Linked DNA regions of Saccharomyces cerevisiae S288C. The protein of the gene in region 2 interacts with the protein of the main gene of each other region in a pairwise test. Each region holds a gene or a part of one and is shown on either strand. Other genes may lie near its edges. The genes, in order: RCK2 and IRC6.

Region 1 (4,333 bases), on a different chromosome or scaffold from region 2:
CTAGAAAAATACACGGTTCTTTAGAAAACAATTAAGGAAAGAAAGAGAGCGTAAGAAAAAGAGATATTCTACAAAATTTTGATGCAAAAGGTTTTTATAAAACTTCTTATCTTATATGAAAGATGAGATGAGATAATTATACTCGAGGAAGCGAAAAAATTTTCACCAACGCAAAAAAAGAAAAAGAAAAAAAAAAAAAAAACATTAAAAACGTTTCTTTTTCACGTGCTAAGTGATCTAATAATTTAGGGTTATGCATGGGTGGGGCCGGATAAACCGCGGTTGAAAGTGATTAAACGGAGTCTTTTCTTTTTTTTGCTTCTTCGTTTCTTTTTTTAATTTCTTCTTTCTTCACGAATATTTATTACCCAGCCTGTCATGATTTTTTGATACGTAATTGCCCTGGTTGGGCCCTTTTGCGAGTGGCAGTAAGTATGGAAGGGGCGAACAATGATTGTAAGTTGTTTTTTTAATAGGGTAACGACCGGGTAAAATAGAAAGAAGTGTTGACTAAGAAACGGGAATCAACATTCACTTGCTTATCTTAAAATGTTATGTATATATACGCCCTGTAGATATGTATAAAATATATACTTGTAGAAGGAGTTTAATGTATATATATCTTTTAAAAAGGAATAGGTAAAAAGATTGAAACAGAAGGGAAAGTTGCTATTCCCTGATAGTGGCGCTTATTGGAATTGTAGGCCCTACGTCATTTTCTTGAACTTTTTTTCTTCTTTGCAGAATCGTGGACGTATCCAGCGTTAATTGGAACATATTTTGTTCCAGCTGTTCATCGCCTTGGGCGCCACTGTAACTATCTTCCAATTCTTCGTCCTCAGCAAGCGAGCCTAATCCTCCACGTGTTCCCATACGGTCTTCTTCGGTACGTTTCACAGCATTACCAATATCAAAGGCGTCACGCATAGCAACAGCAGCTGGTGAAAACAGTAGCGAGGAGTCTCTTTGAAATAGTTGGAATTGTTTCTTATGCGGATGGCGTCTTTCGGAAGTACCTGCTTTCTTTTGTGAAGATTCGCCCTCCTTTGGTAAACAATCGAATGTATTTAACCATGGGTCGTCCAAAAACTGGTCAATGTCGTATCTTTTAGACGGCTCTAGTTCTAATAGCTTAGCCACGGCATTCTTGGCACCGGCGCTGATTTCATCCCACCAAGGTTTCAGAAAGGTATACTCACCCCTTGATATTTTTTCAGTTAAAGTGTCAATTTTCTCATCATAGAATGGCGGGAACCCACATAACATTGTGTACAAAACGCAACCAATCCCCCACATATCCACTTTCATAGAATAATGCTCATCTTTGACAACTTCAGGGGCAGTGTAACCGACTGTACCACAAGGAGTCTTGGTGTTCTTGGAAAATATTTGTTTAGACAAACCAAAATCAGCTAGTTTTACTATACCAATTCCACCACCACCAACTCCTGGTGTGAAAATTCCCTCGTCTGCCTTTGTTTGCGGATCATCCGATTTCCTCAATTTTGGTTTTATAGAGCGTGTGAATTCAATCGGTTCAAAAAGAAGATTCTCAGGTTTTATATCACGATGCACTACACCTAGTGAATGCATATGTTTAACAGCCAGTGCTAATTGTTTGATTACATGCCTTGATAAATCTTCACTGAAATAGGTCAACCTAACAATTTCGCCGAAGATTTCCCCACCGGTTAGTAACTCTTGAATAATATAATAATAGCTATCTGTTTCTTGGAAGTCTATGAACGCGACAATTTGTGAACAACCAGCGGAAACCGTCTTATGTAGTGCAACTTCCTTCAAGACTTGATCTCTGGAAGAAGTTTTAGTGCTGTCCTTCCCTTTGTCCTTCTTACGATGATCACCATTAATCGAGGATAAATCTGCCTTTTTGATAACTTTAATGGCAACAGCTTTATAGTTTTTAGTTAAAAATTCATTAGAACTATTTTTAGCAGGTATGGCTCTAAAGACTTTTGAAAAAGCACCTTCACCGATTTTATTGATCAGCTTGTAACCTATCAATTCCTTTTGTTCGAGGAAGGATTTTTCCGGAATTTCATCTTCCATATTGTCATCATCAGTACTGTCATCCTGGATATCACTGATAATCTCGCTTTGTTCCGAAAGAGATTCGTCAGATATTAAGGGGTCGGAACTTAATTGACCTTCACTACTTTCATGGACATCGATAGCTGGCACGGAAGTAACTGTTTCCACATTTTCCGTGGTAATATTATCACTCGGTGAAGAGTCCGAGTCTATCGTGGTTACTAATTCATCGGTTAAAGACTTCATATGATGGTCATCTGCGACAACACTCGGGTACTGAACTATATTTTTGTCCTGAAAGCTTTTCTTAGGGGAAGAAGTAATCTGGGAAACATCTTTGTTATTTGTACCGCTTGACCTGGTCTTACCCTTGAATGGTTTTTTAGATTCCTGAGACAAATCTGCCTGATCCGGTTTCTTTTTCGAGAAAAGGGCCTTTATTTTAAGCATCGAAGAGATTTTGTTTGATCCTCTCTAAATAAGCAGTACTCTTAACAATACTTTCGTCTTTTCCAATCGTTAAATGTTTGTACTTCAAATAACGTATGAACTATCTGGGATTTTATTTTCTTTAATTTTTTCGATGTCACTCTTTTTTTTTCTTTGGCCGATCCGTCTTTTCTAGTAAGCGTTTGTAAAAAGTTAGATGTCAATAGGAGAGATAAAGCCCCAGAGATAGAGTTTGACTTCGTTGAAATAACTGTCGCTGATTACTATTATCTAGGATTCTTGACGAGGTTTCCTCTTAATCACTGGATTTATAATTATAACCTTAAACCTAGCCAGTAAAAAAGTTTAAAAAGAACAAAAAACAATAACAAATAAATGTCCCTTTATCCTCCTTTTTTCTCTTGATTGCTATAAAGTAAAAAGATTACTAGACTTTATGCCAACGTACTCGTGGACGACTAAAACTAACGGTGATTTTTTGGATCGTAGTGGCTCTTTTTCAGCCTTCGTACTTTCAAGAATAAAGGAAATGGCAACTACTAAAAAGAGTGCCTGCGCAACGGATGTTTTATTAGCTTGAAGATGTAGCTGAATAACTCCTGTTTTTAAGTGAGCTCGAAATGACGAACCAGTCAAAGAACAAACTTGACCGCAAATACAGGGACATCCAAGGAGTCTGGGATAGCTTCACTCCTATGAGAGCTCAAGGAATTACCTGCTCGCATCTCTGACCAAGGATAAGGCTCGTTTTTTCCTTTTTCGGAACACTCGAACTGCTACCCGTCTTTTCCAGATCTACAGCTGATGAAATGTGGCTGATGAATGTATTGATTTGCCACTTTCTAGGCGCTGTCTAAAGGAATGAACTCCAGGAAAGGCCAACTTATTCGACGGTAAATGTCTGCAGTAGGTGCGCTATTAGCAAGGGAGTACAACGTGACTGCCGAAAAATGCGACTTTTTCCTAGAAAATGGTTCTTTTGATTCAGTGATAGCAGCATTGCCAGCGCTAAATCAGGAACAAGAGACTGTAACTCAAAAAGTTAGCAAGAACGGAAAAGAATTAATCAACGTTGCCTCGGTAAATATCGAAATACCAGAGCGAATAAGTCTTTCCAACAACGGTAGGCAGTTATTTAAATTTATTGTTGATATAGAGATCTTACCTTGTGAAAATGATAACGAGGCAACACTTGTTGTGTCGTCAGATTCCGTATCCTTATTTCAAATTGGATTTAAAATGGAGAACAATTCAAAAATCGCTGTTGACAAACAACTTCCGCTGATCTTGGATATATGTGCTCATAAAAACCAAGAAAGGGCCCTACGAAATCAGTTAGAAAATCGTAAATCTTTAGAACGCAAACCATCAAGAAAGAGAAGAAAAAAAAATTCAAATGTTAACGATCCTGAAAAATTACTAAAAAGTCGTATACACGAATTATCTTTGTCCTACAAAGATTTTGAATGCTCTCCAGTCGTATTCCGATACAATGATTCCTCTTTAACATGGGTTTTATCTTTTAATTTGAAGTTGAAGTTTTTAAATAATAAATTCAACCGGTTTTCCGTGGAGGCTAACCAAATACTGGACTTGACGTTCTCTAATAGGGACGAGAACGAATTTGAGCGATATCACAAGCACAGCCATATCCATTCAAACTTCATTCAAAAACAATTTATTTCTCAAATCTTGGAATATAGTAAAGATAGGCTATCAAAGATCAAACCGTTCTTACCCCAATCTATACCAGACCTAAAAGTTAACCTCTTACCATTTCAAAGAGAGAGCGTTGAGTGGATGCTAATTAAAGAAGGGCATGGTAATTCTC
Region 2 (3,291 bases):
TCAGTATTATCAATTAGCCACAAGCTTTTTGTATGCTGCATTATTGATACGGTGGCTGATATTAATGCCACTGGTAGGGTCTCGGTTTTTACCGGGAGGAATCCACGAATTCTTGATATATTTGATGTTTTATTCCAGCATCATGGAAGTTATTTGGTTGCTTAGATTCCACGGGTTCAAATATGGTTTGCTTTCAAGAACGTTTTTGAAAGACCTAAATTTTATCTATTTAGTCAGCGTGATCCATTTTTATGACGATTATGAGCATGCATTGATCCTCAAGAATGCATCATATTCTAGTTTCATTATTTCCTTATCTTTATCACAGGCATATTGCCATTGGTGCAAACTTTTTAAACGTAAGGGCGTAAAGGAAAGAACACTTGTATGGAAGGTTAACACATTTGTTACATTGCCAATTCTCTACCTGAGTGAATTTGCATTGCTACTATTAAATATCCAGGTTAAGAACTATCATTCTACCCCGACTTTGGACATAATCAACAGGGTGGTTTTACTAGCATACTTCCCTGTACTACTAACAGCATACAAAAAACTATTAACAAAATGAGCAATCTTATTGGTTTAATACATATGTATACACATATACATATCTGTACATACTCATAAATATCTGGATAGTTCGTCAGCCATTTCATTTGCAAAAGCATCAGCTTCACTACTATTCTCGATAGACTTATATTTTAGCCTTGCACTTTGCAAATTCCTAATTATTTGTTCGAGGGGCATTTCATTAGGAATTTCCTCCCTTATTTTAGTAGCCGGTTGAACTTCACAATTTAACCAGTCGTGGGTATCTATAATCTCCTGGATCCTATCAAGCCCCAATTTTTCTCCATAGTCGTTATGATTAACAGTTGGTTTTGACCTTTTCCAGTTTACGAATTCGATGACGTTTGTAAAGGCATTGCTCCATATCTCATTCAGTTCATCAATTTCATCTTGCTCGACTTCTTCGTTCACATTGGCCAACACAACAAAAGTATTTCGATGGGCAGCTATCATGAATTGGTGCAGCAGTTCTTGAGGTTTTGTTTGCCGGATGTCCGTTATTAAGATAATTCCTGCCATGACATTTCTAAGCGGTTCACATTCAGGCGTTATAAATTCTTCCACCCATACTGGTATCTCTTTGCAAGAGTCAATATAAAGATCAAAATGGACTTTATAGTATCTATTTTCCCAAGTTTGGTCCTTAACTATACTGATGCCCGTGCTAGAGCAATGAAACAGGTCTTGCAAAAATTGTGTTTTTAAAAAGTTGTGTGGGTGATCTGATAAAACCAATATTTTATTCTGGGGGTATTGAAGAACCATGGTAGATTGGTATTTTTGCGTATATATACTTGCTATCTTGCTGCATCAGATTTTCTCTATAAAGAGTTTTCTGTTTTTCCTCTCTTTTCAGAATTCGAATAGGAATGAGTAAACTTGAATGACATGGAATTTACACATATATACACATATATAAATAAGATGACTTAGTTTTCTGGCGATTCAGAGTAATATTGCAAGTAAGCAGCCATCGTCTTCATACCACCAACAAAATTTGAAATATCTAACTTTTCATTGATTGAATGAGCACCATCATCGCCTCTACCCATTGGCAGCAATAAGACACTAGTGTTCAAGGCATCTTGGAAAGTCAAAGTGATAGGAATGGAACCACCTTCCCTGGTAAAATCAGGATCGACACCATAGACCAGTTTTGTGGCCTTTTTAGCAGCAGTAAATTGGGCGTTGAATGGATCAGAAACCCAATAAGCACCATCATGGATCAATTCTGTTCTGCACTTGTTTGGAGAGTTCAAGGACTTGAATTTGGCATCACAATGCTTCTGGACCAAAGAGGTCAGTTTCTCAGAATCCATGTCGGGGACGGTTCTAATGGAAAACTTACCGAAGACCTTAGCTGGAATGACAGTCTTTGCACCTTGAGCGGAAAAGGCGCCTTCCACACCATGAATGGACAACGAAGGATACCTCCATCTGTGCATCAAGATGTCTTCCTTCTTGTCGTACAAACTTGTCTTAGAGCCAGTTGCAGCGTTCAATTCTTCGACGCTAAATTCGATATCCTTGTATAGAGCCTTCTCCTTTTCGGTTAGAGGAGCAACCATTTCGTCAATACCGTCAATCAGGATCTTACCCTTAGAATCCACAAGGGAACCGAGAACTTGCATTAAATCGATCATTGGTTCAGCAACAACACCACCAAAGATACCAGAGTGTAAATCTGCACTTGGACCCTCAATGATGGTTTGATAGTAGTTGCAACCTCTTAGACCATAAGTCAAAACAGGCTTCTTAGTGCCTAGCCAGTAATTATCGGAAATACAAACGGCATCTACACCTTTAAAGTAACCATTAGCTTCCTTTTTAATCAATTCATCCAATTTCAAAGAACCACTTTCCTCCATTCCTTCGAAACAAGTAACTAAGTTAACGGGGAATTCTTGTCCGGAGGCTTTGAAGGCGTCCACAACGTTAATCCAAGATAATAAGGGACCAGTGTCATCGGTGACACCCCTTCCTTTCATGATACCTTTAGCCTCATCAATGACAAGCTTGAATGGCTCAGTATCCCAACCATCTTCCAATTGAGCAGGTTGCACATCATAGTGACCGTAAACCAACACAGTCTTTTTTGAAGGGTCGCTGCCGAACCTAGACAGAATCACAGGAGGTAGAGACAGATTTGGCGTAGAAATTGGTGGAGGTTGAATGCCCAGATCCACCATTTTAATGTCATGGAACCCCGATTGTGATAATTGCTCGGAGATAAACTTGGCCTTATCGAAGACTTTGGACCTTAGTGATTCATCCGAAGAAACAGCGGGGATTTGAATAGCCTTAGTCAGTCTGCTGAAGAACTGAGGCTTTAAAGAATCAATCTTTTGGAAAACGGAAGTAAGTGAGTGAGACATGCTTGTGTACGATGCTCTGGAGCAACTGAACTAACAATGAAGGGAGATTCAATTGATAAGAACAACATGTTGCTATTATAGTCTCTCTTTTTTTTTTGACACATTTTCTTGTAGCCGTTTTGAATGACGAATATAAGGGATATTGCTAAAATATGCTGTGGCATTGGTCAACTTAAAAGAATACGAATACTTATTCTAAAAGATGTGCTCGAGTATTTAACCCACCGATTGGCGCACAAAATGTGTTGTGGAGTTATCAATCACTCGAGGGATTTAATCGACTTCTTGTTTAGTTCGCCTTCGCTAGTCATAATAAAATCGACTTATTAATCCAAAAATTTCA

Evidence for each region.
Region 1: the proteins of IRC6 (region 2) and RCK2 interact in a two-hybrid assay, tested with the Saccharomyces cerevisiae proteins (one study listed by BioGRID).

Annotation. Positions count from the first base shown.
Region 1 is NC_001144.5:632,421-636,753, reverse strand, and holds RCK2 (serine/threonine protein kinase RCK2), read right to left. Parts: upstream 2,503-4,333; coding exon 670-2,502; downstream 1-669. Other genes in the region: E3 ubiquitin-protein ligase IRC20, read left to right, coding at 3,400-4,333. UniProt on the Saccharomyces cerevisiae protein: Serine/threonine-protein kinase involved in a signal transduction pathway that is activated by changes in the osmolarity of the extracellular environment.
Region 2 is NC_001138.5:238,490-241,780, forward strand, and holds IRC6 (Irc6p), read right to left. Parts: upstream 1,339-3,291; coding exon 625-1,338; downstream 1-624. Other genes in the region: KEG1 (Keg1p), read left to right, coding at 1-571; DUG1 (metallodipeptidase), read right to left, coding at 1,503-2,948. UniProt on the Saccharomyces cerevisiae protein: Involved in gross chromosomal rearrangements (GCRs) and telomere healing.